Drosophila melanogaster: one gene and its partners. The gene in region 1 interacts genetically with each later gene. Each region holds a gene or a part of one and is shown in the gene's direction. Other genes may lie near its edges.

Evidence for each region.
Region 2: of Nf1 (region 1) and Cul3, changing one enhances a phenotype caused by changing the other (phenotypic enhancement), as found in Drosophila melanogaster (one study listed by BioGRID).
Region 3: of Nf1 (region 1) and elav, changing one suppresses a phenotype caused by changing the other (phenotypic suppression), as found in Drosophila melanogaster (one study listed by BioGRID).
Region 4: of Nf1 (region 1) and Alk, changing one suppresses a phenotype caused by changing the other (phenotypic suppression), as found in Drosophila melanogaster (3 studies listed by BioGRID).

What each region holds. Positions count from the first base shown.
Region 1 is NT_033777.3:25,981,473-25,986,869, forward strand, and holds the start of Nf1 (neurofibromin 1), read left to right. Parts: upstream 1-1,540; 5' UTR 1,541-1,819; coding exon 1,820-1,876; intron 1,877-2,119; coding exon 2,120-2,263; intron 2,264-2,362; coding exon 2,363-2,747; intron 2,748-2,802; coding exon 2,803-2,944; intron 2,945-3,000; coding exon 3,001-3,594; intron 3,595-3,655; coding exon 3,656-3,977; intron 3,978-4,039; coding exon 4,040-4,592; intron 4,593-4,646; coding exon 4,647-5,184; intron 5,185-5,239; coding exon 5,240-5,397.
Region 2 is NT_033779.5:15,265,278-15,272,802, reverse strand, and holds Cul3 (cullin 3), read left to right. Parts: upstream 1-2,478; 5' UTR 2,479-2,886; coding exon 2,887-3,429; intron 3,430-3,598; coding exon 3,599-3,982; intron 3,983-4,045; coding exon 4,046-4,807; intron 4,808-4,869; coding exon 4,870-5,040; intron 5,041-5,102; coding exon 5,103-5,273; intron 5,274-5,335; coding exon 5,336-5,450; intron 5,451-5,515; coding exon 5,516-5,658; intron 5,659-5,783; coding exon 5,784-6,007; intron 6,008-6,068; coding exon 6,069-6,207; intron 6,208-6,276; coding exon 6,277-6,429; 3' UTR 6,430-6,774; downstream 6,775-7,525.
Region 3 is NC_004354.4:519,736-525,346, reverse strand, and holds the start of elav (embryonic lethal abnormal vision), read left to right. Parts: upstream 1-2,120; 5' UTR 2,121-2,361; intron 2,362-3,650; 5' UTR 3,651-3,906; coding exon 3,907-3,907; intron 3,908-5,061; exon of another isoform or gene 5,062-5,270; intron 5,271-5,611. UniProt on the Drosophila melanogaster protein: Required for the proper development and maintenance of neurons presumably by affecting RNA metabolism.
Region 4 is NT_033778.4:16,636,571-16,642,236, reverse strand, and holds the start of Alk (anaplastic lymphoma kinase), read left to right. Parts: upstream 1-2,225; 5' UTR 2,226-2,491; intron 2,492-4,261; exon of another isoform or gene 4,262-4,589; intron 4,590-5,666.

The sequences.
Region 1 (5,397 bases):
TTAGGACATTCAAAATCCAAGCAGCTTTTTTGATTTTTTCAAGGCGTACCCGTTTACCCGTTTGAATCCCTGATCTAAAACAAATGCCCATTTCCTAGCTGTAGTCTCTGATCTGATGCCCCCAAAGGAATTGTTAAATTTAGTCTATTACTCTAGTCGGCTGGCGGTGCGGGGCGGGGAAGGCCCGTCCTGCTATCCAGCACTAATTTATTGTTAGCAGGCCTGCTCAAGGACGCGAACGCAGGATTGCACTGCATTGAAATCCAATTTCAAAGGAAAACTTAGCTGTAAGAACGAAACCAATCGAATCGAATGCGATAACGAAACAACGCAAGCTAAATACAAATCTTACTAGTTATACGAGCATATTCTATTTACAACGATCATCTGTTTGTATCTTGCGCTATCTGCAGACTAAGTTTCAAGCACTTTATGCTATAATTTCGAAGCGAATAATCATCAAACGTCCATTGCAGCCAACATATACCACTTATACAAGAGAAAATCAAGATACCAGTTAAGCAGCTAGAACAAAGTAATATAGCAACTATGTACGTGCATGTATACACTCCTTAAAACTGCAAAGTTAATAGAACCCTCTAAAAATATCAATAACTGCATTTAAATCTATGAGAAAACCGTACATATATCGAATGCAAAGTAAAATCAAAAATATATACACAAAACAGTTTAAGAAACTCTTTCCGCAAGCTCACAATTTTCCACATATATAAATTTTTCACCTTTTTAAAGCACTTTTTTATTTACTTTAATTGATTGGATAAAGTACCCAACTCACTTCCCAAAAACGGCCAATAAGACGATTGTAACATAAGCCTATGCCTAAACTCAAATTTTTGTCAGCTTAAGAAGGGTTATTTGAAAAATAACGCAAACATTTTCAATAAAACCAAATATATACATATATATACCTATATGCGACTGTACATGTGTTTTTTAGCTAGCTAAACTAACTTTATACCGTAAAATAATAGAACAATTGAATAAATATTAACTAACGTTGGACGCAACACTAAATTACAACAGATAGAACTCGATTTGAACCTATTACTGCTCGAAATGCTGAAACATTATAAACATTAAGTATTGCTGGAAAATATGTATAATTTGCACAGAGCCAAACAGGCACACTCAAACGGAATTAACTCAAAACCCAAGCTACAAAACCATCTGAAATATTTAATATTGATAATTTGTAATGCATTAACAACAACATTAAATAAACTAATAATACTTACTGAACTGAATCTGTTTTAAAAATCATTTATATTTCTAATTGGAACACTTAGACCATATAAAATAATAGCATCAAATGAGATAGAACGAAATGAAGGCCAAATATTTTTGGAATTTTTAAACGCTCCTGTGAGCGCGCGCATTTACTTGTGGCTTATGGTCACCCTAATGAATTCAGTACTAGTTGGTCTGATGCCATCACTATTTGAAAATAAGCGATATATCGATAGGATGTAATTGTTATCACTTATAAAAGCGTTTCGGTATTGTGAAAGAAATGGAAGGCGGTACACACACAATATAAACATCCAAATAACAGCCTGTAAGCCCTTAGAAAATTCCCATAAAAAAAGAAACAGTGCCCGTTTTGTAAAGCCAAACCATCCAAATTGTTGGAAGAGAAGGAAGTGAACGTCTCAGGAACTGAAAAAAACACCAAGGATAACGAACAAAGATGCCACTCAACCAATTGCCACTCCCCAAGCTCAACGAAAAGCTGCCCTATTTAGTTGCTGAAATGCAGTAAAAAACGCATAAACAACTGTTAAAACACCACAACAAGATGACCCAGAAGCCAGGCGAGTGGGCTAGCGCCCTTTTGGCACGTTTCGAGGATCAGGCAAGTGTTTTCCAATCGCTTTTCCGCAGTTGCGTTTTCGCAAGCGAAAAAATGTACCTGCTGCTCTGCCTCTTCCTCCCCCACACATGCTCACAGCGACCTTGCGAGTGTGCGTGCCTCACCCGCTCTGTCAGTGTGAGCTCTCAATCAAATGCGTGGGAGAGCGAGATAGCAACAATAACAAAAACACCGGTTCCCGCATGAATGAAGTGGAATTGAGCAATCAATGGTTTACTTTTTCAGCTGCCAAACAGAATCGGTGCCTATGGCACGCAGGCCAGGATGAGCCAGGACCAATTGGTGGCCTGTCTGATCCACATATCGCGCTACCGCTTCTCCCTTGTCATATCCGGTCTCACCAAGATGCTGCAGAGGGTCAATGAGGCGGTAAGTACTCCATTCTCTATTGTTAACCCTTAAACTATGTTGCCTTATTTTATGGGGCTAGGATACGATTAAATTACTTAAACAAAAATTTCATTGCAGGCCCTTCAAAATCGCCATGAGCCAGAGCGTTGCTACTTTGAGTCGCTGGTCATCATACTGACCACTCTGGAACGCTGTCTGACCAACCAGACCAAGGACACAGCACGTTTTGAAGAGGCCATGAATGTGAAGCTTCTGCTGCGCGAGATCTCCCAGTTTGTCGACGTCCAGAGCGACAGCAATCCGAATGCCGCCCAGCTCAAGGCCCTGGCATCCAAGGTGCTCTTTGCCTTGTCCCAGAATCACTTCTCGGCGGTGTTCAATCGCATATCGGCCAGGATTCAAGAGCTGACATCCTGTTCCGAGGAAAACCCGGACTACAACGACATAGAATTAATTCAACACATCGATATGGATATGATAAAGCTAACCAAGCTGCTACAAGGTAAACTAACTTTTTTAATATTTCGGAAAGGTTAAACAACGTTTTACGTTTCCAGAAACCATCACAAAGTTTCGATCGAAGCGTGCTCCACCTTTGATCTTGCTTTACTCGCTGGAGAAGGCTATTTGGAACTGGATCGAGTACCATCCACAAGAGTTCCAGGACTTGCAACGAGGAACCAATCGAGATATATCAACGTAAGAGGAATTACAAGCGTTTTTAAAGTCACATTAATTGATCCTGTTTCGTTTAGCTGCTGGGAACCCCTGATGGACTTTGTAGAGTACTTTAAAACCGAAAACAAGAAAAGCAAGACTCTTGTTTGGCCGCTTCAAATGCTCTTGCTGATATTGAATCCCTCTTGCCTTGAGGCTGTTGTTAACGAACTTCAGCAGTCGGAGAAAGAGAAGGAAAAGGACAAGGAAAAGGTTGCCTCGAAGTCAGCGCAATCCACGTCCCGGGACAAGGACTTCTCGGCCAAGCAGTTCATCGAGAGTATCAAGAGAGGCTTGGGCCAGCACTCACCATCCAAACAGGTGACCGAATCTGCGGCAATTGCCTGTGTAAAGCTGTGCAAAGCATCCACCTACATCAACAACACCGACTCCAATAATGTGGTCTTCAAGTTGGTGCAATTCTTTATCAACGATCTCAAGGCACTGCTCTTTAATCCAGCAAAGCCCTTTTCGCGCGGTCAGGGGTACAACTTCGCTGATATCGAGCTGATGATTGACTGCTGGGTGTCTTGTTTCCGGATTAATCCTCACAACATCGAGGCTCTAAAGGTTTGCCTGAATTTGTCCTCGCCGCAGGCTTACCATTTTGTAATTGTGTGCTCTCTGCTAAGGTAATTTACTTGGGTAGCTATATAAAACTCTTGACTTTTACATGTATACTTTCCATTATAGGTTGGCTCACATATACGTTGACTTCCGTTTGCAGAACAAGAACCCCTTTCGAATAGTAAACCAACCGAGATTGTCTTGGTGGCCGCAAACGGATGTGGTTCACTACCGTTCTGCTGAGCTACGAGCTTTGTTTACGGATACGCTCAACAAGGCCACCCAGGGTTATATAGCCCATACGCCACTGCGCTACATAACCTCCCTGACGCTCAAATCTAAAGATACCCAGAAAGGTTTAACCCGCGCTGAAGAGGGTCCCGCCCACAAAATGCTATTACTGCTACTCGTACGGCTAATTCATGCAGATCCCACGCTTTTGTTGAATGTGAGTTATTTGATAATTTGATCGATAATAGTCTCATATTTAACAATTGTTTTGTAATATAGACCCAAGGAAAAGTGGCACATGAAGTGCAGAGCTCCACATTGGAGCTCATCAACGGCTTAGTTAGTTTGGTGCATCAAACTACCATGCCCGATGTGGCACAAGAGGCTATGGAGGCGCTGCTTGCTCTGCACGCCCCGGAGAAAATAGAGGTTTGGAATCCAGAGGCTCCGATCAATACGTTCTGGGACGTTAGCTCCCAAGTACTGTTTTCAATCTCGCAAAAGCTCATTCAACACCAAATTGCCAATTACACTGATGTCTTAAAGTGGCTACGCGAGATCCTCATCTGTCGGAATACTTTTCTTCAGCGACACAAGGATTATGCACATGTGGGAAGTCAGATTGCCATTTGCAAGCAGGCTCACATTAAGATGGAAGTTGTTTTCTTCATGTACCTGTGGAGTGTTGATTTAGATGCGGTGCTGACATCGCTATCGTGTTTTGGACTACTATGCGAGGAGGCTGAGATTTGCTGCAGTTCTGATGAATTGACAGTCGGATTTATTATGCCGAATTACCACATTTACCAGGAGCTGGCTCAGTTGTCCACATGTGAGTTTGGTAAATTCATCATACATATTTTTATTAATAATAATTTCGTTTTAGCTGCAACGGACTCTCGCATTTGCTTTTTTGACAACACGCACGGCAATGTGCTGAGCCGTCTTACACTTCAAAAGCGCATAATGACCCTATTGCGCAAGATCGAGCACTGTGTTCATGGTGTTCAGCCCGCCTGGGAGGAAACCTTCCGCAACTGGGAAGTATCCAGCAAGGTTTTGCAAACGTACCCCAAATGTAAAGGAGAAGATGGCCAAGCGGAGGTTTTCCATCGTGGCATGGGCAAGCGGCGAGCGAGTCACCAAAGCTCAGAGCACGATTTGGAGGAACAAATTAATGAATGGGCCAATATGACATGGTTTCTATTAGCCTTGGGTGGCGTCTGCCTTCATAAACGTAGCAGCAGTCGTCAAATGCTGCTGCAGCAATCACAGAACAATGCTTCTTTGGGATCACTTGCTCAAAACTCTCTTTACTCAAGCTCCACAAGTTCTGGACATGGCTCTCTGCATCCTAGCACGGTTTCACTATCCACTCTTCCCCCAGCACCGCCACAAGATGTCAGCTATTGTCCTGTAACACAGTAAGGTTTTATTTATTTTAACATGTCCCATATATAACCTATAACTTTAATTTAGATTCGTGGGCCAACTATTGCGCCTGTTAGTTTGCAGCAACGAAAAAATTGGACTTAATATTCAGAAAAATGTGAAGGAACTGGTGGGCGAGGAGATGTCCACCCAACTGTATCCTATACTCTTCGACCAGGTTAGAGCCATCGTGGAGAAGTTCTTCG
Region 2 (7,525 bases), on another chromosome or scaffold:
AGCGGGAATTTCCCAGATACGATGTAAGGTAGATATTAAACGGCTTATTTTATAAAACTCCTAAACTTTTTAACATGCGTTTATCGATAAAATTGTGCGTTCATATTCCAAGAATTATTCTGAAATCTCAAAAAGCACTACTATTTCAAAATCATTTGTGTTTTTGTCACCTACATAGTTATAGTTAACTATTTTTATCTGTATTACAAACTTTTGAAATGGACTAACTGAAATTTGAAGTCCAGTGCGTACTTAAAAATATAGCATACTTTTAGGGCTTTCGTTTTGAAATACTACCATTCACAGAGAGCAACACGAATTTTGCAACACTGTTAGCTAGACATGGGAAAAAAATGTTATATAAATTATGATAAAATATTATATACATAAGACAATTTAAATATATATTTGGAAATGTTATGTACTTTAAAAATTCAAAATTTATGAACATAAAATCTTTACCAAATAAAAATTAATTTATATAAATAAAGAAATCAATAATTAGTGACAATAATTCTTCTGGTTCTGCTTGTGATGCAAGCGTACTAAGAAGTCAGTTACTTTCCTTTTAATTTTTATATTTAATATTTATATTCCTTTAACAAATAAAATAAAAAGTAACTACATATTTTCTTAAGTTGCGTGCGATGCAAAGTCAGTTCCTTTCCTGTTAACTTTACTGGTTTTATTTATCATAAAGTTGAGAGCAACTGGTTTTGACACTATCGATGGAAAAGTACTATCGATAGCTATCACCATTCGCCTCGAAAAACAACAACAATGCTACTTTTGTCGCCCATCGCTATTAAAACCTACAATCAATATGAAATGCAAGTAAACGTTGAAAACAGCAACAAATCAAGCTAAATAATAGTAGTGACTTTACTAATGCATTCGCACCGGTAAAATACATTTTGAAATAGTAAAAATTGTGCGAAAGCGACGTGGAAAGCCGTTTCAAAAGGCCAGGTACAAAAACATACGCACACAAGCGTAGACCGTGAGACGGGCAGGCACCCACACGCACACACATATGTAACCCGTCTTTTCCATGACAAAGTGAAATAGAAGAATCGTTAAGAAAATAAAGAAAGCAACAAAGTGAAAATAGAAGCATTGGCTCGATAACGTCTAGCAATTGAATGCACTTCCCTGGGACGTATATTTATCGATCATCGGTTGGAAGTGCGTGCGAAAACAACGGTTCTTGTATTAATTGCACGTATATGTACATAACAATTATATTGTCGCCGTGTGAGTTTTTTTCACCGTTTCTTTTACGCGGAGAGATCGGATGGGCCAGCGAATCAATGTACATGCACATATATCCGATATCTGCGATATAGGCGGCGACAAAGGAAGTGACGACGCAGTACGGCGGATTGGTATCCCGGGACATATCCGCAATTGCAAACTATTCGCGAATAAAACCAGCCGCTTCCCCAAATAGACATACACACACGGGCATATATATACATATGTACGTACACACGTCTGCTTGTGTACATCGCGCTTGACACCCTAACATTTGCGTGGAATGTTTGCACAAATATACGAAACCAGAATGCTCATCTCGGCACCACCCTACGCGGATTGTAGCGTAAACATGCTGGGAGATCTGTGATAGAACTAATCCATTCACCTCTCCTTATCTTTCAGGATAAACCAAGGATAACCCAGGTTAACTGTGTTCTTGTTGTGTTAACCATTGATTGCCGCCGAGGAAAGCAGGTTCCGTCATCGGAAAAGTCGGAGAAGCACCTGCTCTTCTTGCAGCTCCCTGCTCCGGAGTCCGAACCGCCAATAAAGTGGAGGAGCAGTGCCGACGCTTGCAAAGCATGAATCTGCGGGGAAATCCTCCCAAGAAGGAGGGCAAAATGCGCATTCGGGCCTTTCCGGTAAGAACCCACATTGGAGCATCGTTAAAACCACGATACACACTCTTAATCGTGTAATATTGCTAAGAGCGAACTAATATGAGATTATCTATTATCTGACAACCCGGAACTAATACAAGTTTAAACCACAAACTGTAAAAACATTTTCATTTTAAGCTCAAATCCAAGAAATCACTATGAAGAAAGAGCTTGCTGTCCACAGCAAGTTGTATAATCCCAGATTATGCCATTTCTTTGGTTCAAAAAACAATGATCTTCAAATTTTTAAGATTAAGCGTTTGAAAAGGTTGAGTGCAATTTGCAAACGAATTTAAAAAACGAGATATACTCATTTGAAAAGCCCCTTACTCGCTTTGCAGTTGAGATGAGAGTTGCAGCGAAAAATCTGTCGATCGCATCATGAACTTGCAAAATGTTTCGATAAGATAATGCCATTTGCGGGTATTAAGAGTTAGATAATTTTTATAAAACAATTAGCAAATTCACCGGTTAGGCGACACCAAACATTTCTCCCCACAAAATGTCAGGCGACATGAAAAGCAAACACCAAAAATCAAAAACAAATAAAAACATCAAAACACCAACCGGGGCCAGGGGAATTTTCAACACACATTTTAGTTTTTAAGTTACAACGAATTCAATCGTAGTTTTCGAGAAATTATTGTTGACCAACAACACACACAAAAAGACTGTGAACACCTGTATGTGGAGAGCAGGGTGAAGGGCGAGACCCGAATCGCGAGTAGAACTCTGGCCGGAGTACGGAGCACAGAGGAGGAGGAGGAGCAGCGGACCAGGTGTAGCAGAACCGCGCGGCGGATGTGACATTGAAGCTATCATCATTAAGTCGTTAAACCAAAGTCGGTCTCGCCAGGCACCGGCTTCAGCAGCGGGCTATTATCCAGCCCCTCGCTCTCTGGCACTCAGCGAGGAAGAGAGGAGCCACTACCGGGACAGGACGTGTGAGCTGGACCAGCGTAGCAATCTCATGCAAGGCCGCGATCCCCGCCAACAGCAGCCGGAGCCACTGAACAACCTCAACGCCAACGGCCGCTACCACAATCGCATGGTGGCCGGCTCCAACAACTTCAATGGCGCAACTGTCGGTAATGTGGACTCTGCCGTGCCTTGCCGGATTGCAAGGCAAAACGTTCTTGGACAGCAGGCGCGAAGCATGAACATCAATGTGCCCAACGCCTCCTCAATGCAGCAACACCAGCAGTCCCAAAATCGATTGTCCGCTCAGGGATTAGCTTCTGCCTCGCGGCGGAGTTATCACCTTGCCGCCAGCGGTGGCAGAGTTCGGGCTGATAACAGAATTAATACTAACCACCCGCTCACGCCGACGCCACTTTCCATGCCAGTTCCAGCTCCTGCTGCTCCAGCTGTCGTTAAAACTGAAACTAGTGCAACCACCTCTGGGCCATCAACCTCAGCTTCAGCGAGCGCAGAAAGTACAGAAAAACGCTTTAAGGAAATAGCACGGAAGTACCCACTCTGGCTACCGGAGTACAAGCGAAGGGCATTCAATGTTAGCCTACCATCTGATAAAAACCAAACAGGGATTTCAACTTTTAGTTAACTTACTAACAAGCGAAAGTCTTAATATCCCTCTTACACTCTTATGCATTTATAAGTTTTAATCCCTGAGAAATAAGTTCTTGACTATCCAAATTAATAATCTTATATTTCTCTTCCAGGCCTCCATGGACGAGAAGTACGTGGAGACCATTTGGGCCAGCTTAAAGAATGCTATCCAGGAGATACAGAAAAAGAACAACTCCGGACTATCGTTTGAACAACTCTACCGGAATGCGTACAACATGGTGCTGCATAAGCACGGCAATAGACTGTATTACGGTCTGAGGGAGGTCGTCTCAGAACACCTGGAGCACAAGGTGCGGGCGGATGTGCTGGAGGCTCTGCACAGCAATTTCCTACCCAAGTTAAACCAGGCCTGGACAGACCACCAGACATCTATGGTGATGATCCGCGACATACTCATGTACATGGATAGAGTTTATGTGCAGCAGCGCGAGGTAGACAATGTGTACAATTTGGGATTAATTTTGTTCAGGGATCAGGTAGGAATATCTTTATTGCATTTATTCCGTTGGAAATATATTTATCGCTTTTTCCATTACCAGGTGGTTCGCTATTCTGAGATTCAAAAGGCCCTGCGAGAGAAGTTGCTGGGCATGGTGATGGAGGAACGTCATGGCGAAGCCATTAACCATCTGGCTATCAAGAATGCTTGCAGTATGCTGATCACCCTGGGGATTAACTCGCGCACTGTCTACGAAGAGGACTTTGAAAAGCCCTTCCTTGCGCAATCGGCGGCGTTTTACAAATTCGAGTCGCAGAACTTTCTTGCCGAGAACAACGCTGGCGTTTACATCAAGAAAGTGGAAGCGCGCATCACGGAGGAATCTTCCCGGGCAGCGCTGTATCTCGATAAGGATACGGAGCCCCGCATTGTGCGCGTGGTCGAAGAAGAGCTGATCAAAAAGCACATGCGACCCATTGTTGAAATGGAGAACTCGGGCGTGGTGTACATGATCAAGAACTCAAAGACCGAGGATCTGGCCTGCACATATAAGCTTTTCTCGCGCCTGAAGGAGGAGGGTCTCAAGGTGATAGCGGACACAATGTCGGCATATCTGCGAGAGCAAGGACGCATGCTGGTTAAGGAAGAAGAAAACGGCAACACGAATCCCATAACATTCGTGCAGAACTTGCTGGATCTCAAGGACCGCTTCGACCAGTTTCTGGTGCACTCGTTCGCCAACGATCGCATATTCAAAAACGTCATCTCATCCGATTTTGAACATTTCTTGAACCTAAATAACAAATCCCCGGAGTATCTATCGCTATTCATCGATGACAAACTGAAAAAGGGTGGCAAGGGAGTGAGTTGAATTTACAATATGCTTTCTGAAATGTATTAATAATGTGTATTACTTTTCCACAGATGAGCGAACAGGAAATTGAGTCCATCTTGGATAAGACAATGGTTCTCTTCCGTTTCCTATTGGAGAAAGATGTCTTTGAGCGCTATTACAAGACGCATTTAGCCAAGAGATTGCTGCTGAACAAATCAGTCTCTGATGATTTCGAGAAGAATATGATATCAAAACTAAAGGTAGGTCAAGTTACTTGGTATCTTAGCATAATTATTTATCGCTTTAATCTCTATTATTGCAGACTGAATGCGGCTGTCAATTCACCTCGAAGCTAGAGGGCATGTTTAAAGATATGTCAGTCTCCAATACGATCATGGATGAGTTTAAGAACTTTGTAAATAATAACAATTTATCCCTTGGCGGTGTGGAGCTAACGGTACGCATACTAACCACTGGTTTTTGGCCCACACAGGTAAGCTTAAATTGTTCCATAATTATGTGAATAGGTTAACTTATCTTCAATTTCCGTAACAGACAGCAACTCCGAACTGCAATATACCCGCCGCTCCGCGTGAAGCCTTTGACATTTTCAAGAACTTCTATCTAAATAAGCACTCAGGACGTCAATTGACGTTACAGCCACAAATGGGTTAGCTACTTAAATGATCTTCTTTTTTAAGCAACTACTGTATTTATGCCTTCCCCTTCGAATAGGAACCGCCTATATCAACGCTGTGTTTTATGGCCGCAAGGCAGTTGAAAGTGAAAAGGATAAAGATGCACCCAGCTCCAGTTCAAGCGGCTGTGGGGTGCCCACCACCACACGCAAGCACATATTGCAAGTGTCCACGTACCAGGTAAGCTAAAATATCTTTTAGTTCGTACACCTCCGAATTTTATTTAGCAGAAGCAGCTTTATTTCATTGATCTGAAAAAAATATTTAACTAAACATTTAACATGTATTTCATAATCCAAAATTAGATGTGTGTGCTACTGCTGTTTAATAACCGCGACGTGCTCACCTACGATGACATACACCAGGAGACCGATATACCGGAACGGGAGCTCGTCCGAGCACTACAATCGTTGTCCATGGGCAAACCCGCTCAGCGTTTGTTAGTACGCAATTCTAAAACGAAAACTAAGGACATTGAGCCCACGGATGAGTTTTACGTAAACGACGCCTTCAACTCCAAGTTCCACAGGTTAGATATTACTTTCAGTGCGAAAGAACGGCGCCTGGTAATAATATCGAAACTATTTTAGGGTGAAGATACAAACGGTAGCCGCCAAGGGAGAATCAGAGCCAGAGCGTAAGGAAACGCGCGGAAAGGTCGACGAGGATCGTAAGCACGAGATCGAAGCGGCTATTGTGCGCATAATGAAGGCCCGCAAGCGTCTGGCTGTAAGTATTATACGTTTGCTATCTGGTTGGATTGTGATTTAACCATGATTCCTGTTTTTATTTTCTTAGCACAACTTGCTAGTATCAGATGTGACGTCGCAGCTAAAGTCGCGTTTCTTGCCCTCGCCCGTGTTTATCAAAAAGCGCATTGAGGGCCTAATCGAGCGCGAGTATCTGCAACGATCGCCGGAAGATCGCAAAGTGTACAACTACTTGGCCTAAGCGGCCCACAAAAAGTAGCAGGAGCGTCTTAAGCAGGATCCGGAACACACTCATCTTCAAATCGCCAGGGCTTGCACACTAACTGAAAAACACAATCTGCAGCTCGGACGGAATGGCCTGAGCATACGAGCGGCATTGATATGGCGGATACTGACCACGATTATAGATGACCGCCAGCCAATAACCCGAATACATAAATATATCAATTAGTGCGCCCCGAATCGTAAAATTTCGTTTCGCAACCCATTTTGTAAGCCTGACATTCAAAATTCAACAGTTAAAAATGCTATTGGATAAGGCACCACCATAATTATTATCCCTCTAATATATTTCTTGATATTCTCTAATTACTGTTTATGGTCATTTCTTTGCGCATAACAAGTGTATAGCAGTAAGCCCAAACAACCACATACACACCTGCTCCACCACCACCCCATTCAGAGCCACAACCACACACACCACATCCACCCACAAGAATCGTACGCAAAGCAAGATAAGAGAAATAATGCATAATGCAGCCCCTAATTGTAAGCAGCTGAGTAAAAAGGTAAAGAAGCAACAACAGAAATATAAGCAAGAAAATATTAATAACTATAAATATAGCTAAAGTAATAAATTTATAAATGAATTATGAATTTTAGAGAGCGTTTGATGTACATTTATACGTCGTCTGTTTCAATCCAAATAAAAACATTCATCCCACGTTTTGAGATGCGTGTGAACAGAACGTAAGGATTGCAATGACTATTCATATTCCTCTATCTTCATTTTTTGTGTACGCCCAAAGCAACGTGAAGTGATTATGATAATCTGTACGAAAAAGTTGTTTTATCTATTAGTTGATATGTGGGAATCGATTCCAGGCATATGTAGGCAACACTTCTGTAATGGATTTGAGTTAAGTAGGACACACATAGAATTGATTTTGAAAAACAATTTAACGCCGAACCGAAAGCACGAAAACGGAAGCAAGCAAACGCGATCTAAACACTGTAAATAAATTTTGTTCTTACATAAAAGAGAAATCGATATAAATAAAACGTATAATGAGCGTTAACACAGTTGTTGTCTATCTTTTAAAAGGATTTTAAAATAT
Region 3 (5,611 bases), on another chromosome or scaffold:
AGAAAATGCAATCGAGAATATCGAATGCACGCTCCAGGTTCCTATGGCTCCTAGCTTTCGGTGCAGCACAACAAATATTTGGGTTGGTTCGTTTTTCCGCCACGATTTTAAAACGCTAAGGGTGGCTTTTTCGGAGTCCCTCTCATTTGAGCCGGGAAAAAGACCAGACCCTCCCTTTCCCTCCCCAGCCACTTTCCAGCTTTGTTGTAACCTCGTGTTGTGCCTGCTTTTTAATCCCGCTTTGTTGTAACGCAGGCCATTTGCTGTTTTTGTTTTGTTTCTGGCGTGGCTAAAACGGATTATGTGACCCAACCCTTTCGATTTCGAGTCTCATTGTATTACATCCTTTTCCCAAAAATGACTAAAAAAGCGTATTGCCTATTTCTGGGGTGGACAGAATGAAACGGGGTCAGCACGTGGCCGCAAACTTGAAATACCATTATGGATCCAATAGGACTGTGAAGAGTTATTAGTGAAACATTTCGAACAAACTATTCCTTTAATTGAAATTTGCCAATTCCCCACTTAAGCATCGCATTTGCATATTTGTATGCTAACCAAACTCTCTGCGACGTCGATCTGTCTGAATCTGAATCCGCATATCTTTCGAGGGCAGCAATAGCGCCACCCCACCCCATTTCCGTTGCCACTAGCAGCGCACCACCCTTTGAAAGGACATCAAAAACCACCCCCTGCCCAAAGTTGCGTTACAATTCCCGAAGTGCAGTGCAGCGTACATAAAACATACAATGAAATCCGATAAAATTTTCTATGTCCTTTATATCCTCATAACATGCCCAACTATAAACCGAGCCAAATTCTTCTCGTGAAAAAGTTGCACACAACGCGATTTCACTGTACCTTACATTGTTCTGTAAACTGGAACAGAGCGTCCGACTGGAAGAGGCGAAGGAAAAAATCAGCACAGGGAACAGGAAGTTCACAAGGATTGGGGGTGTCCGAGGGTGGCTACATATATATGGCGATATATGGCATACAGTATGTGCATACATATACATACATATACACATATATGTATGTATGTACCATACTATGTGGCGTGTCTAGTGGCGCGAATAACGAATACAGGAGCAATGAAGCACACGAACGAAGCGAAACGAAACGAAGGGAAATATTGAAAAAGCCAGAATTGCATTACTTCAAAACTATACCGGCTCTTGGATATGGGTCCTGGGTCTCGGTTCCTTGCTTCTGGCTTTCGCTTCGTAGGGGGTGTACGAGCAATACTGCCAGGAGAAACCACCCTAGCCTTTGGCGTTGGTGGTTGATAGTGCAAAAATAATAATAACGGAAACGGAACCATAAACCCAAAACAGCCCTTACAACGCGACTGATTTGTAAGGATAATGGTCGCATGCATCATAAAACGGTTGACGACCTCGTCGGAAAGAGCCAACATTTTGCAATGATTTCCAATTGCTCCTGCTATCTAGGCCCAATGGGCCGCTAAGTACATATGAAGCATACATAGCTAAATACATATGAAGCATACATACATCGGGTTAACTATAAAACCAATGTGTTCTAGATGAGTTTGTTAATTTTACAAAGTAAGTTAGGGCTGCTCCAGTGGTTTTAAGTTGCTTAACTGGACAAGAGAACTTGGCTCTCTCCCCCATCTATCTCTTGTCTTCGGGAAAGGTAACCTCCATTTTGATCGGTTGAATTTGTATCAAAAAGCATGAAAAACTTTGAATACAGCATAAACCACTGAGAGAGCAGCCGAAAGCCAGGGGTGTATCAAAAGGGGTTCTTAGAAATATTCCACTTTGCAACGATTATAGACTCGTTTCTTATCAGACAAAACTTTCTCCACTTCTACGTGGTATTTACAGAAACAAAACTTAAGGTAAAATGTTAGGTGGCTATATATTAAAGCTATTAAAATATATTAAAGGTTTCCGGAATAACCCCCTATCTCGGCGCGCAGATACGCCCATGTCGCCACTCTTTCGCTCTCTACCTTCCACTCTCGCTCCGAACACCATTGCAACCCCGAGAGAGCTGCTCGAGAGGCAACTATGAGATATGAGAATGAGAGGTTGCTCTATGTGAAAATGGAAACCGAAACCGTCAATGCCTCAATTTCGCATTTCATTATTTCATTTCCACGCCAACCATCGTGCGCCGCGGTCTGAACGCTCCTGCCACAGAAAAAGAAAATAAAAGCAAGGAAAATTCTAATCGAATACCAAATATCGTGCTTGTGTGCTCTTTCCGCAATTGATTTTTTTTAAGTAGTGCATGACAATAACCGTTGAGTTGACTCCAACCGAAGTAACCATAACTGGAAGCTGACAACAGCCATTGGCCGGAATCTCATCTCACACCGAGCGAAATGTAAGAGTATCCCCAGGATATCCACAATTTGTGCAACTGAATGAAAGGCAATGATAACAATATCAATCAACAACTTTGAAACAGTACTTTTTTTTTGCTAATGATCGCGTCGCGCTGCATAATTGTGCAATTTACTCACTTATAATCCGCGTGTCTGCATATATCCATATGTACCTATATCTATTTTTTTGCTAGTGGGTGTGTGATGTGTGTAAGTTGTATACATTCAAACGAATATTAATAGGCAAAACAACAATATGCAATTCGATGGAGGAAAAAGCGAACCTCCCAAAGAGAGTGGCGGAGAGATGGGCGGCGGTTAGTCAGAGTGAGAGGGGGCGGCCAGTGCGGAGATAGTAGATGTGTTCAGATCTACGCCTCTGTGAGCTGTGTATCTGTAAATACTTGCTGCTCAAATTTAAATCTGTGTGTGTATGTGTGTGTGGGCTTGCGTGTGCGGGAGAGAAGAGCGCTGAGTGTTAGAGCGAGAGCCAGTTCCGAAGAGGGCGCAGCTAGCATATCGATTTTATGATTTCATGTGCAAGGAGCATTGTACGCAACAACAAACGGAGGAACACGACCAACTAACCGTTAGAAGTAGCCATTTTTTGAGCGCAGCGGAGAGGGTGGGCGAGTGTGTGTGGGTGGCGGAGTACTTGCAGTCAACAAAACGCCGGTTGCCATAAAAGCAAATGCACGCAGGCATGAATCAGACCCATGTCGTAGTAGCAATATTAAACATAGAGGATTCGCGATTCACAGCAAAGGAGTTTTTTCTCAAAAAACGACAACAATTAGTTTTTTTTTTCCCAGTGGTCGTCTGTGTTTATGCTTGTGTGGAAGAGAGCTCGAAATAGGTAGATATATACACGCGTATTTATTTATTATGTGTACATATGTGCTTGTAAAAACAATATCAGCCATACAAAGTTTGAGTCCCCTCCGCCCACCTCCTAACAACAACATCGATATCTAAATCGGTGCAGGTAAAGAGCGGTTGCTACAGGCCCAAATAACCTCTCTTCAGTAGAATTTTACCAACATCTCAAAGTATTCTCGCTGCGCCACATGTATGCGTATCTGCACGCAGATATATTTTTTGTATCGCCTGTGAAATATGAATTCAATGCTTTGGATGGGGTAAAATCGATAATATCGATTGGCGATAACAATCGCACGCACACACACAGGCCCGCAAACACGAACAACTAAAACTACAACAACAACCACCAAACCCATCGAATTTACCGCTTATAGTTTTGTTTTATTTTTGTTTTTGTCCACATCAGACGGCGACGCCAGCGTTTATTTATTAAAAACGATTACATTACAACAAACACCAAAGTCCTGGACAACCGAAGAGAGTGTGGGAGAAAATCGAAGCAGAGAGCAAGGAGGAGCGCCGTGAGAGCGCGCGCGCAAGGATTTGAGATTGCAAAGAGAACTTAGCAATTAGTTCGCTTTGTTTGTCCAGCCAAACAACAACAACAACCAACCAGCTCCCCAAAACCAACTACACACATACTCGCTCCCTAAACTAAAACAAGTGAGTATTGAAAGACGACGGGCCGAGCTGACGAGATCGCAGGACGAAAGAGAGAAAACTTTCGAAGGGTGCGGTGTCGTGTCAAGGCAACACAATCAAACCACTAATGCGGAATATTAAAAAAAAAAATTAATTTAAATCATAAGAGGTTAGCTATATTTGATATATATATGTGTGTATCCATGTACATATGTCTATGTTAGACAAGTAGCTCCTTCTTGCCGTATTGTAGTTCGGGTTATCGTTACCCGCCTCTAATTGGCTTGCCATGACGAAAGTGGGTGGTACAGGACGACGACGTGCGTGCGCGTGACCTTTTGACTCTTCCATAAGCGCCTCAATAAAAGGTGCGAGTCGGTACATACATATGTATGAGAATAGAGGATATTAAAAACTAAGAAAAGCATCCACCAAAGTAAAAACAGTAGCAACTAAAAACTTTTCAGTCTCAGCTAACCAGTCCAAACCAGCTATGTAGTTTTTAGCACGACTTTGGGAGTGTCGAATGCGTTAACTAAAGCTCAAATATATATCGAGACCCGCTGTAGTCCCTATATGCAAATCAAATTGCTACCATTTCCGCAGCGATCGCTTTTCGCGACAGCCCCCTCTCTCTGTCGCACTTAGTTCAGTGAACCAACACATTCGCTGGTTTCGTTCCGAGCAGCATCCTCTGTCTCTCTTGCTCAGCCTCTTCGCCGCCCCCTCTGCCTAAGCCTCTGTTTCTGCTGTCCGCACCCCTTACCAAGGTGTCATGTAAATGGCGGAGCCGGCTTAGGGGGTGGCAATGCCGTGCTTTTAACCCTTATCGGTGGCAAATGGCGCTCGTACATTTGGAGAAAATGCCGTTCTACGTTTCGTTTTGCTTCGTTTCGCCAAGCGAAGTATTACAACTTGTTTGACTAAGGGTGGGTCTACCGTCTATTGCTCATTTATGGTGTTTTGATGCTTTCTCAAGGGGTGCGGGCTGGTTTCTCGCATGTCCTGACCCTCTGGGTCATCCCTCTGTTCACCGCATTACATAACTGGGCGGGGTGCACAGCGCGACACACTCTTATGGAGAGAGCGCTGTAATTTGCGGAAAGGAGACGAGGGGGAGAAGGGACGCAAGAGCAGCTACAGCGCGCAGCAGTGCCAGAAAGTCCTGCGCTCGCCCCAGAAGCATCCTGTTCCTGTGACGCAGCGGATCTGGTCTCGCGTTCGCTCCACTACCTCCACTTCCTACACCTACAGTACACATATCACATGAACTTAAAACTAGTGAACGGATTAATTAAAAAGGAATCGCAAAACAAAAGCTCGCTAATCGCGCAGACACAGCAGAAGCTTAAATTCAGAAAAGTTTAGTTCTTCAGTGCCGAAGGTGTGTTTGCAGAGCTTTGATTTCTAGTGCGCGGGTGTGGGAAGAGAGGACTAAATAGAGACAGAGAGAGCGGCCGGATGAGAAAGTGGGGCGCTGGGCGGCGCCTGTTAGCAAAGCTTCGTTGACCAACCGTTATTTCCTGAACAAAGGAATAACATACATTCATCACTTAATCACCAACTGTTTTTAAATCCACAGAATTATAATTTAGCGTATGATTCAAGATTTGGGAATTGTGCGCACCCAGGATAACCGCGTTTGTGTTTAATTTACAAACATGCCCCTAATGTCTATTAAATAAAAGTTCAGCGTCGGAAAATTAAAGAGTCTGGTAAGGATTA
Region 4 (5,666 bases), on another chromosome or scaffold:
TTCTTTTCATATGTGTAACTCACCCACATAGCCAACTTACCTGTTGCAGGGTGAATTCAGATTCTGGCACCTCTTCCCACAGATATTGTTTTTTTTTTTGTAAGTTGAATTTTACACATAAAGTTTTTGTTATCAGCAACGGATTAGTTAAATCCGTTTGCTAGCTTAATATTAAATCATTTCGACTGCAATTGCAAAATCGAGTAAATTAAGAAAAATGGAATAAAAAAACGCTTGCCAAGACACTTTCAAAAATATTTACAGAGGTTTACGATAAAGGATTAGGAAAAGTTCACAATTTACAGCATGCCAGAAACTGAAGGTTAAAGAGACGAAGGGCGCGGGGCTTTTGGATACCAAAAAATTGTGCTGTGTATAATGTGTGCCAAAAAATGTAAGAAGGGAATACGAAAATGTTGTATATGCCACGCATAAATCAGAGAGAGTAAAAGAGAAGGTCGAGCGAGGGGGTAAAATTTGATTGGATTTCGTTTAACGTGTGGAAAATGATTGAAACTTTTGCAGCTGAGGGTTTTCCACTAACTTTTTTTCCCAGCCAAGTTGTGCGCCAAATGCGAAAAATACCAAGCTGTCCGATTTCCGGGTCGCTGGGGCGTCTCACTTTCACTTTTCTCCAAGGATTGCGCTGTGTGTGTATGTGTGTGTGTGTATGATGTGTGCTTGTGTGTTATTTGCGTGTATGTTGGTGACACAACCAAGGCAACAGAAGCAACACCGAGCACAATCACTCGTCCTTGCAGTCACACAAAAGTTGATGTCCAGAAAAGAGCAATTGGATTTGCCGCAGGCCGTAAATATTTCTTAATGCAAAAAACAAAGTGCTGTGCTGAAGCTGAGGGCCGTTAACAATAATTAGATTTTTCTCTACTCAGGCATTCGGCCAACACGCACACTCACACACACCCACACAGAAAGCAGAAGCGTTTTGCTGGACGAGAAATGAACCGTTTTGCACGAGGCACAGAAGCGTTCTGGCCAAAATATTCGTGTCTACCTCTGAGGAGGAGTCCTTTTTCGAGTCCGCAGCCTCTGCGCATGTCCCACGGCCATCGATCCGCCTCGACGGTGGTGGCCACCAGCTACCCAGACCACCGTAATCCTGGCCAGCGCAACGTGGCCCACAGCCACTTGTTTGCATCATCGCGTGTTTATCCCGCCGATGCGCAGGCGCCGCCAAACATAAACAATGTCCAAGCCTAATGGATGACAGTTACCCCATGACAGTTGACAGTTGGGCTATCGGACCACTTGACATGCGCTCCTTGGACCGCCGTTCGCCTCCTGTCGACCGCCCAGGGCTTCGTATTTCGGTGTGCGGTGGCAACCCTCGAGGCACTTGAAAAAAAGACCACAGACCGCACAGAAAATACAATGAATTACGGAATTCATACAATACAATATCTTAAAAATAAACATATTCCCTGGGCTTGTGTGTTTTATTTATTGAATTAAACGATGGTAACAATTTTGCACTAATTTTTCATAAGTTTATTTTTTGATCGCGTCAAGAACTACTTTCTTTCTGAGAAACGAATTATTTTACATGTTTCTAAGAAATTAAAAACTATGTAAAGCGAAAGTCATTATCCAGTACACAAATAAACTCCTTCAGCTTTAACTTGTGCCATTATCGCCTGATTTGTCCCACTGTGATCATCAGAGCTTCGTTTTTGCGAACTTCCGTTTTGCCTCAGATATTGCAGCTTCAGTCGCAGAATCATTAATTACTTTCGCAGCTACCCCAAGCGAAAAGAAACAGTCGCAGTGCTGGCTAAAAATATCTCCCCTTGCGGCACAGCGCACATAACATAAATCTTCCGGCTGATCGGACTAGCCACATCGAACGGCAGCAGCAGCAGTCGCAGCAACAGCAGGTAGGCCAGCCGGAGGTCAGGGGTCAGACTAAAGGCTGCACAATGTCCAGGCCGTGACGCCACATCCCCGCGGCGATTGGTGAAACGCACAAGTCAATTCCAATTGCATTACCACTTGACACGTCGCGACGAAAACAAATAAACAAACACACACGAACCCAAGGATGCGGCAGCCGTGAGAAAAAAATAAACACGAAGAACGCACCAGCAGATATATCTCGTTCAGCAGTCGCCAGATGAGATGGACTCAGTTCGGGTAGCCAGTTCTTCGGTCGACGCCTCCGCATCGGTCTTTAGCTTCTGGCCGATCTCAGCCGCCTGCTGTTATTCAGTATTCATCGAACAGTCGCATCTCTCAGTCGCCCAACGGATGTTGCAGCACCACAGGAACTACACAGATATTTACGCGATTCCATAGATTCTCGTTCTCGTAGTCGAGAAACTGAAAGCGAAATCAATGGTATCCGCAAGATACACGCTCGTGTGCGCGGCTTTAAGTGAATATAATTGAAGACCAAGTGATATAAATAGTTGGATAAACTCTTTCTTCAGCCGCGACACGTGCCGGGCACACTTTTCCCCTTTCGAAAAATTGAGTGAGTTTTACCCCTAAAATATCGAAAAACTATTTTTAAACATATATATGTATATATTATAGTGAAGTGCATCTGCTAGATGCAAATTGCGTATACTGAATATTTTATGTGCCAATTTACGCATCCCTAAACATTTTACGGGCCCGTTTGCTTTACCAAAATGAGGAAAACATCAAAAAATATCAATTATATTTTTATAAATGATAGAAGGAAGTCTACTCGACTGTGCTAGATGTTGTTTATATTTGATTTACTTGATTCTTTGGCACAATATAGACTTTTTACCGCCGTTTTCGGACTAAATTTAAAATTCAACACGCTCGTAGTCGTCAAAGTGGATGCTGAGTTTTCTTCTGATCATGCCCGCTTTTCTTCTCTCTTCTTTCGATTGCTTTTTGTTGTCTGCGATTTCCTACAGCTGCCGACGACACTTATAAATATATTTGCATATATTAGCGTGTTCTACAGATATAGTATCGCACGTACGTACATATATCTGCACATGTACTCTTATCTGCGCGATTCTATATTAATTTTCGCTTACTTGTCGCTCTATGTCTGTGTTGCCCATTTCCGTTTGTTGTCGTCATTAATTGATGTTGTTTATGCCAAATAAAAATATTATTTCTGCAAAAGAAAATAGGGTTTTGTATTATCGAATTTTCTTAGAAATGTGGGAAAGAGTTAGCTGGGGATAATTATGAACATTTATATGTTATAATGCATGCTAAAACATTGTGCAATTAGTACTTACTACTTAAATATTTATAACACTTCAGTTTAGAAAACACTAATCAGTGTTTATGCAACATTTATTATTTGATTCAGATTTATTTCAAACATCTATGATTGTGTACACTAGTATTGTGTACACAAGTTTTTAAACGACCCCAAAAACCCTTCGTGCACATTTCAATATTTAGCGAGTAACCATTTGACCTTTCATCATGTATCATTTATTATTTTATTTTTTTTGATTTCATTTACAAATTACCATTGAAAAGCAGAAAATTCAATTAGGTTTCCGCGAAGTGCAAGTCGGGCCTTTGCAAACCTGGCCAATGGCACCTGTTGGTGGCGAGGCAAATGCACCTTGCGTTAAGACCAGGCTTACTTAAATTACAAGTGTCCGGCTTATAAGCCAGCACGTCACAATCTCCGAGGGGCGAAAAAGGACCAAGATAAATGCATTTGTGTCGCATCCGTGACTCTGATTAGGTGATATTACATCGCCGGACGAAAGGACGCAGGAGGCGCAGAATGGGGTCCTTAATGCACTGCAAATTGAAAGAGGAAACGCAGCTACGACTGAAACTGACGCACAAGCAGGCCCATCGCACCCCGCCCCCCCCCCCCCCCCATCGGAATAGGGGGGTTTCGCCACTGCAGCGGCTGATGGAGCTAAATTCAATTTCCAGTAGTTTGCATTAATTTCCCGGCTTATGCCGACCGCCAGAGTGCGCCACTGTCGCTGCCTCCCTTTCCTCCCCCTTCCGTTTCCATCACATTTTTCTCACTTTCACATGCAATCTGAAACAGCAACAGCTTTCGCTGGCTGAAATGTGTGGAGAACGAGTGAGCTCTGTGGAAAATCCAGCGAGTCGGAGAAGAAATTTCCTCAATTTCCAAACGCATCTGTAACTGTGCGCTCGTGTATCCTGTGGCTCGATTTCAGGCGCAGGATATTCGTTTAGCCACCGACGCGAGATGCCGATGCCGATGCCGATGCCTAGGATGCTGGCCGGGCTTTAACGAATTTCCCCACATTTCAGTCTTCGTTTGCCGAGCGTCGTGCGCGCAAGTATCCCTCAGAATCGCGGATAGACGGCCTCAAAAAAAAACAACAAGATATACCCAAAAAAAAAAGAAGATAAATCTGAAGAAAACCAATATATGTAGTACCATCAACAACAGTGCTAGAAAAGTTAATACTACAAAAGAGAGCAAACACAACCAGCAGCAAATGAAAAAGAAAAGGAAACGTGAAAAGTGTAGCTGAAAACTTCATATTCTTCGAATAAAAACCATATTTTTCCCCGAAAGATACATAATTCAAGAGAAGCAGAGCTTACGAAAATTTCGGTTGAGCCACAAATCAGTGCGTAATGGTAAAAGTGATTACATATTCGAAACTGAAATGTGAAATCATTGCATTCAATTTGAAATAATGATGAGCAGTGAAAAATCGAATGAAAAATTTGTTGAGCTGCAGGAAAAATTTCGTTACTTCCAAGCTTGCGTGTGTGTGTGCGTGTATGTGGTGTGTTTTTTTGTGTAGTATCTTTTGTGCGCCTCGGCTGCTCTGTATCTGTAAGATACGCAAAACAATTTGTCTGCGCCATTAGTAGCGAAGAGTGTCCTATGTGTGTGTGTATCCTGCGCAGTCAACGATACCGAGGCTGCGTCTCGCATCCTGGCAAATCCTTGCCACCATCGCCATCTAAATTGGAGTCGGGCACAGAGGGCAGCGCAATATTTGCGACGTTGACGCAGCCCCCACTCGCTCCTTCTAATGTAGTTGTTGTTGTTGTTGTTGCTGGTCCTGCTCCTATGGCGGCAATGTGTGTGTATCTGCAAAATACGATATACAGACCAAGGATACTGTCCATGTGCTAGCGCTCTTTTGTTGCTTCAGTTCGAAATTTGGACTATATTATTGTGGCTTCCGTTTAATTTTCTTTTTATTATTTCTGGAAAACTTCGGTTAAGAACACAATAACATTTTTATTATGTCGAGTAATATCTGTATTAATTGACTAGTTTTCGGGTAATAACTCAATGTGCACAGACACTGAAATAACATAAATATGGATTGTTTCCAATGTTTCCTGCACAAATAGATTTGATTCTCAAAACTCTTATATAAACTTTACATAATAGTTATATTTCAAACTTAAAGAAATACCCTTTAAGTACTTTTTAAGTGCTATATCTATTTTAGATATGAGTTTGGACCGATTATAGTATCCTGGCAGTAGAAAGTTAGCTTCAAAATAAGATAAACCTTACTTGAATTGAAATCAACATTTCTAACGATTAAAGGTAGAAGTATAACTAAAAATTATTTAAAAAGTTTGACCCACTCTTAGTTTCAACTTGATCTTCATAATAGGTACATATGTATATCTATTTGGTGCTTGCCCAATTATAATCCAGATGAAAAATTCCCGCAAAT